Linked DNA regions of Xenopus tropicalis. The protein of the gene in region 2 purifies or fractionates together with the protein of the main gene of each other region. This does not show direct contact. Links are inferred from orthologs where the notes say so. Each region holds a gene or a part of one and is shown on either strand. Other genes may lie near its edges.

Region 1 (3,816 bases), on a different chromosome or scaffold from region 2:
ACTGATGTTTTTCCTATGAAAAATAACATTCTATCCATTCCTAAACATTAAAGCTGCTTGCTCTCACTCTACCTTCTTTCTCTCCTGCTTTTGCCGTTCCCTGAATTCCTCCATCTTTCTCGCCTCGTCCCGTAGCGTTTGTGCCAGCTGAATGTGACACTGACCTATATTATCAATTTCTACAGAAACAAATGACATGAAATGATCAGGTATTTCCCAGTAACATTAGCTGACCGAAGGTAATTGTACAAAAAAATATTTGAGTAAAGAAAGACCCTGTAAAGAGGATATTGTAGATGGTATATACAGTAGAACTCTTCAGATCTCTTTCAGTTTGAAAGCAAGCATCTGATTGGTTACTGTAGGTTACTAGGTGAAAACACTCTACCCTTTATTACACCATCACCTAGTATTGGCTCCCACAGGCTGGCACTGGTTGGCCCATTGACACATACTGATTGGCTTTTATTTATCTCCTCCTCTCCAGCTACAGTATCGGATTCCTACAGGTCATGCACCCTAGCAACCAGCCAGGGGTTTAAATGAGATAAAACAGGGTCAACGCAGATGAAAAGTTATATAAATAATAACAAAAAATAACAAAAATGCACATTCCTACCCCAATAAGTTATAGTTAAAGGAGAAGGAAAGGTACAGTCACTGAGGTGGGGAAAATGTTATGCACCCACAGTGATTGTAATCGCTTACCTTATACCCCGGGGTATAAGGCTCGTCACTAAATGGCGGCTCAAGGGAAAGGATGTAAAAGGGCAATATTTACTGATATATATATTCCAGTTTGGGGAGATTCTTTAGTAGGTTATTTGGAGGTATAGTTTTCCTTTAATGAGACCGTCCCCTCTCGTAGTAAGCGTGACAGCCAGTAGGGTTCTTTCCTGTCCAGTTAGAAGTGTCTGGGCCTATAAGTTCCCCTATTTTCACTTTATTTTCAGCTTTTGCTGCTTCAGCTTCCTGCGCTCTTCCTTCTGCTTGTGGCGAGGAGCAAGGGACAGAGGCCGATGACGAAATAAAGATTCAGGGGATTTATGACTGCCATGTACACTCGCTTGACTACCATTTGCCGCCTTTCTGCCAGCCGGGAGCATTTGCAATTAAACCCCTCCCTCTCGCTGTGACTGGCGACTTGCAGATAAGCACAGATCTATTAACCTGGGGGCTTATAAGGCCAACAATTGCCCATGTGGGGGCTTCAAACAACCCACATTTTTCAATGTTTAGTTCTGACCAATGAGTAATATCCAGACATATTTGATATGAGGCAAAGGGGAATTAATTCCCAGGAAGCCAATATATGAGCGTAATTCCATATCTCCCCGTAGGCATGAAGCTTGCTAATGGGGTACTTACGTTGTTTAAAGACATCAAGGGATCGCTTGAGGGTGCTGGGGGGGAAGACACAGAAGAGACCATTAGACTTGCATTAATAAATTACAACCAAAGTCACTATAAATATATTATTGCTACTTTTTCTCTTGATGTCCAGTGTCAAAGTCCCCTTTAAAGGGGAGGAGCTTAAATACACAGCGCTTATGATGTCACTGAATAATATCTTGACATAGTAATGTCTGCGTTGAGCTGAACTAGAGGGATGTCGCAACATTCCTTAGTTAACCCCCAGCCAGCGAGTAGGTCAGACAGGATTGAGCAACAGTACTGCATTTGGATCAGTCGCAACCCACGATGGACTTGAAAACTCAAGACCGCCCTCTCCCATGATGGGCATTTTATTGTGCATTAAAATATGTGCAAGGGCAGAAAATTGTAATTCTAAGCATTTATTGCACATTCTCACCGAGTTCAATGTAATTGCTATGGGAAGGCATATCTGTCTGTCACTGTTGTATTCTCTGGGTCCGACTCTTGAAACAATATAGCAGGAGTTAGTTCTCCTACAGGTCTGTTCATCACCGTCACATCTCTGTCACATTGTTTCAGGAGTCAGAACCAGCAGTGCAGAGAATACAAACAGCCAGACAGACGCTGTTCACATTCAAAACCATAGAATTGTTATATTAATGTATATGGGAAAGAGGCATTTTTATTGTGCAAAAAGCAGTGTTTGTCTGGAGTTCCTCTTTAAAAAAAAAACATATTTCGATATTTACAGGGTTCCAGCAGTGTGAGTAGCAATGTTTCCTGCTTCCGGCCCTGGCCTGATTGTGATCTCACCACGAGAATGGACAGCGCAGAGTCAGACACAGACAGATGCAAGGGCAACGGGGCACTTACTTTATTTCCGTCTGTCCACATGGCTTCTTCTTGGTCAGGTTAACCAGTTCCTTCCCATACTTCTCCTCTATGCTGGCCCTAGAAATATATGAAACACTTGAAAATTTTTACAAGATGGGGAAATATTAATTCAGATAAAGAGGAAATTGCAAAAGCTTAGCCAATCAGGGCCTCCCCGGGTTGATTGGGCCCCCTCCCACCACACCAAAGCCATTAGTGCAACAGTGCAAACCAGCATCCCTGCATTTCTCCCAGGGGCCCCCGATGTATTTGCACCCCCAGCCCCACAGTGCTAGTGGCACCTTTCAATTAAACATTTAATAAAAATGTTTTTAATGTTATTTGTCAATGCAACTTCAATTGAAAACAGTATCTGTCCCTTTCTGCACTGCTGGTTCTGACTCCTGCCTCTACTTGAGATAAAACGTCAATTCTGCCATTCATGCTGCACGACAGGTTGTTCACCTTTATGTAAACATTAAGTATGTTATAGAATGGCCAATTCTAAGCAACTTTTCAATTGGTCTTCGTTATTTATTTGTTATCGATTTTCAACTATGTCTTCTACTAACTCTTTGCAGCTTTCAAATGGGGGTCACTGACCCCGGCAGCCAAAAAACGACTGTTTTGCAAGGTTACCAGTTTATTGTTATTATTACTTTTTATTCCTTATCTTTCTATTCAGTCCCTTTCCTATGCATATACTGTATCAGCCTCTCATTCAAATCCATCCCTGTTTGCTTCCCCTTTACTGGAGGTGTAAATGCAAATGTCACAGGGCACTACAGCCACAAAGCAAATGTTCATTTTATCTGCCATTTCTCCTTTATTCTAAAATAATTCATTAATGAATGATATATGAATAAAAATGATATCATTAAGAGATATTAAAGCAACAAAAGCACCCAAATCAATAAGCGGAAGGTAAATAATCAGCAGATAAGAGGCAAGCAATATAATAACAGGGGCTATTGGAGTATACATGGGTTCTATTCTTGCCCGGCCAGACCAGAGATGCCTGGGTTCCTCCGCGGGCTCTTGTGTTTCATTTATAAAGGGGAACTAACAGCTGCATGTCTCCGGATGGAGAAATAATTTTAACATAGACAGGCCAGACTGGCAATCTGTAGATTCTTGTTTTGGCCCAGACAGCCTGGTTTTCAAAAGGGCTGTCTAGGTCAAAACTGCCTGCCTGGTTTTTCAGATAAGCAAATCCACACAGGCCTCCCCTTGATTGACACAGGGATTGGCTAAACGCTTTGGGTCACCCCTCAACCCTAATTCTGGAAAATGCAGGGGGGCTGCTCTAAGAGTTGTAGCTGGAGGGTCTGAAATTGGACACCCCTAATAATTAATATCTAATATTAAATGGGGGCTCCATCCTTCCTGCATTGTCAGAGGGTCCCTCTTCTGTATCTTTGTTCCTGCAGGGGGTCCTTGCAAGCAAACCCAGTATATATATAGTGAATAAAGTACCCCCTATTGTAAAATATAGGGATATTATAAGTCACAGAGGAGTTCCTTATAATATGTATTGAATAAAGTACCCCTATTGTAACATATAAT
Region 2 (3,678 bases):
GAGCTCTCTCTCTGCACTGACACCTTCCTGAGAGCTCTCTCTCTGCACTGACACCTTCCTGAGAGCGCTCTCTCTGCACTGACACCTTCCTGAGAGCGCTCTCTGCACTGACACCTTCCTGAGAGCGCTCTCTCTGCACTGACTCCTTCCTGAGAGTGCTCTCTCTGCACTGACACCTTCCTGAGAGCGCTCTCTCTGCACTGACACCTTCCTGAGAGCTCTCTCTCTGCACTGACTCCTTCCTGAGAGCGCTCTCTCTGCACTGACACCTTCCTGAGAGCGCTCTCTCTGCACTGACACCTTCCTGAGAGCGCTCTCTCTGCACTGACTCCTTCCTGAGAGCGCTCTCTCTGCACTGACACCTTCCTGAGAGCGCTCTCTCTGCACTGACTACTTCCTGAGAGCGCTCTCTCTGCACTGACTCCTTCCTGAGAGCGCTCTCTCTGCACTGACACCTTCCTGAGAGCTCTCTCTCTGCACTGACTCCTTCCTGAGAGCGCTCTCTCTGCACTGACACCTTCCTGAGAGCGCTCTCTCTGCACTGACACCTTCCTGAGAGCTCTCTCTCTGCACTGACACCTTCCTGAGAGCGCTCTCTCTGCACTGACTCCTTCCTGAGAGCGCTCTCTCTGCACTGACACCTTCCTGAGAGCGCTCTCTCTGCACTGACACCTTCCTGAGAGCTCTCTCTCTGCACTGACACCTTCCTGAGAGCGCTCTCTCTGCACTGACTCCTTCCTGAGAGCGCTCTCTCTGCACTGACACCTTCCTGAGAGCTCTCTCTCTGCACTGACTCCTTCCTGAGAGCGCTCTCTCTGCACTGACTCCTTCCTGAGAGCGCTCTCTCTGCACTGACTCCTTCCTGAGAGCTCTCTCTCTGCACTGACACCTTCCTGAGAGCGCTCTCTCTGCACTGACACCTTCCTGAGAGCGCTCTCTCTGCACTGACTCCTTCCTGAGAGCGCTCTCTCCACTCTAGCAGATAGCTTTCTCGCACTCACCGTGCCGGGGGCTTCTTCCTCTGGGGGGGCAGTTGCCGGAGGGCGCTCAGTACTGATGTGGCATCGTCGTACAGAGGAGATTTATCCTGTAGGGACAGACAGTGGCTCAGAGTAGATCACAGACTGCTGATCACTGCACTAATTTCAGCCAATCAGGAAGTCTCCACCCCTTCCTGTTTTTAGGAGATGAAACCAATGTGTCTTTAACCCTCTGTGCCCACAGCTACTCACTGAGGCACATCCCCCACGTTACTATGGAGACTGCCGTGTCTTTAAATATCTCCCCCATTGGCACAGACTGCTCCTGTAGCTGCAACTTGGGAGTCATGTGATTTTGTGCAGCAGTGTGTACGAGGCCATAGGCGCCCAGCTGTCCTATTCCCTGCACTCACCTCCTTCAGATTCTCATAGCAACGGCTGGTCTGCAGCTCCTTGTCGAACATCTCTGTGACTGCGTGGTACAGAAACTCATACTGCTCCTGTGGGGCGGGGGGCACAGTCACCATGGTGATATGGATAGCAGGGGGGGCAGGGCAGAGTGAAGGTAGAGGAGGTACCTCCATGGCAGGTAGGGAAGGGGGCGGAGCCACGTATGAGGTGGGTGTATCGGTACCAAGTACCTACCTGGGTCTGGACCGCAGAGGGTCTCTGGCGCCTCATTTGCAGCACGGCATTGAATATACTGAAATCAGCCGGGACCCTCTGCAACATAAGAGCGGGGAGATGCAGAGAGGTGGGGGGCAAAGCTGGGGGGGTGCATATTAGCCCCGCAGGGGGGGGCACTTACCTGCCGCTGCAGGAGGCTCTGGATATACTCCACCATACAGATTACCCCAGTTCTGCCGCAGCCCGCACTGCACAAAGAGCAGAACCCAGTGTGACTCTGGGGTAATGGGGGGGCATTAGGGGGTGTCGGGGTAAGAGGATGAAGGAAAGAGCAATGAGTACAGTACAGGATACAGGAATAGATTGCAAGCTGTATGGGCAATGGGGGGGCATTAGGGGGTGTCGGGGTAAGAGGATGAAGGAAAGAGCAATGAGTACAGTACAGGATACAGGAATAGATTGCAAGCTGTATGGGCAATGGGGGGAGCAATGAGTACAGTACAGGATACAGGAATAGATTGCAAGCTGTATGGGCAATGGGGGGGCATTAGGGGGTGTCGGGGTAAGAGGATGAAGGAAAGAGCAATGAGTACAGTACAGGATACAGGAATAGATTGCAAGCTGTATGGGCAATGGGGGGGCATTAGGGGGTGTCGGGGTAAGAGGATGAAGGAAAGAGCAATGAGTACAGTACAGGATACAGGAATAGATTGCAAGCTGTATGGGCAATGGGGGGGCATTAGGGGGGGCAGGGTAAGAGGATGTTGGAAAGAGCAATGAGTACAGTACAGGATACAGGAATAGATTGCAAGCTGTATGGGCAATGGGGGGGCATTAGGGGGTGTCGGGGTAAGAGGATGAAGGAAAGAGCAATGAGTACAGTACAGGATACAGGAATAGATTGCAAGCTGTTGAGCCGCACCTGCAATGCACACACAGGGGCACGCGGCTCTCTCGCTGGTACTGGGGCACAAGCTGGATCATCTCCAGGAAACAGGAGTAGGAGTCGGGGATCCCACGGTCCGGCCACGCCACGTACTGAAAGTGGCTGATGTCCCGCGACTCCTGCACCAAAGAACCAAAGTGTCCAACTAACTGCCGTAGCCCCCTCTAGTGGCCAACTAACCGCTGTAGCCCCCTCTAGTGGCCAACTAACCGCTGTAGCCCCCTCTAGTGGCCAACTAAGCGCTGTAGCCCCCTCTAGTGGCCAACTAACCGCTGTAGCCCCCTCTAGTGGCCAACTAACTGCCGTAGCCCCCTCTAGTGGCCAACTAACCGCTGTAGCCCCCTCTAGTGGCCAACTAACCGCCGTAGCCCCCTCTAGTGGCCAACTAACCGCCGTAGCCCCCTCTAGTGGCCAACTAACCGCTGTAGCCCCCTCTAGTGGCCAACTAACCGCTGTAGCCCCCTCTAGTGGCCAACTAACCGCTGTAGCCCCCTCTAGTGACCAACTAACCGCTATAGCCCCCCCTAGTGGCCAACTAACCGCTGTAGCCCCCTCTAGTGGCCAACTAACCGCTGTAGCCCCCTCTAGTGGCCAACTAAGCGCTGTAGCCCCCTCTAGTGGCCAACTAACCGCTGTAGCCCCCTCTAGTGGCCAACTAACCGCTGTAGCCCCCTCTAGTGGCCAACTAAGCGCTGTAGCCCGTTCTAGTGGCCAACGAAGCGCTGTAGCCCCCTCTAGTGGCCAACTAAGCGCTGTAGCCCCCTCTAGTGGCCAACTAAGCGCTGTAGCCCCCTCTAGTGGCCAACTAAGCGCTGTAGCCCCCTCTAGTGGCCAACTAAGCGCTGTAGCCCCCTCTAGTGGCCAACTAAGCGCTGTAGCCCCCTCTAGTGGCCAACTAAGCGCTGTAGCCCCCTCTAGTGGCCAACTAAGCGCTGTAGCCCCACTTACCTCCCTGAAGGTGACCCTGAGTTTTCGGTAGATGACCTCGGCATTGACTCTGTTCTTCTCCAGCTGAAAGGAAGGAATGGGGTCAGCAGAGGATTGTGGGTCCCGGCTGATAAGGAGTTAATGGGACTTACCTTGCTGATGGTGAATGGGCCAAACTGGGCCGGCGTGGTGGCATCA

The links.
Region 1: the proteins of ptpn18 (region 2) and pstpip2 purify together in Homo sapiens (affinity purification with mass spectrometry; 4 studies listed by BioGRID and IntAct, with this or other methods). This does not show direct contact. The link is inferred for Xenopus tropicalis from reciprocal best matches to the Homo sapiens genes PTPN18 and PSTPIP2.

Annotation. Positions count from the first base shown.
Region 1 is NC_030677.2:206,691,256-206,695,071, forward strand, and holds part of pstpip2 (proline-serine-threonine phosphatase-interacting protein 2), read right to left. Parts: intron 2,329-3,816; coding exon 2,251-2,328; intron 1,404-2,250; coding exon 1,369-1,403; intron 180-1,368; coding exon 73-179; intron 1-72. UniProt on the Homo sapiens protein: Binds to F-actin. May be involved in regulation of the actin cytoskeleton.
Region 2 is NC_030684.2:707,158-710,835, reverse strand, and holds part of ptpn18 (tyrosine-protein phosphatase non-receptor type 18), read right to left. Parts: coding exon 3,633-3,678; intron 3,565-3,632; coding exon 3,502-3,564; intron 2,673-3,501; coding exon 2,530-2,672; intron 1,856-2,529; coding exon 1,789-1,855; intron 1,704-1,788; coding exon 1,626-1,703; intron 1,481-1,625; coding exon 1,394-1,480; intron 1,088-1,393; coding exon 1,002-1,087; intron 1-1,001. UniProt on the Homo sapiens protein: Differentially dephosphorylate autophosphorylated tyrosine kinases which are known to be overexpressed in tumor tissues.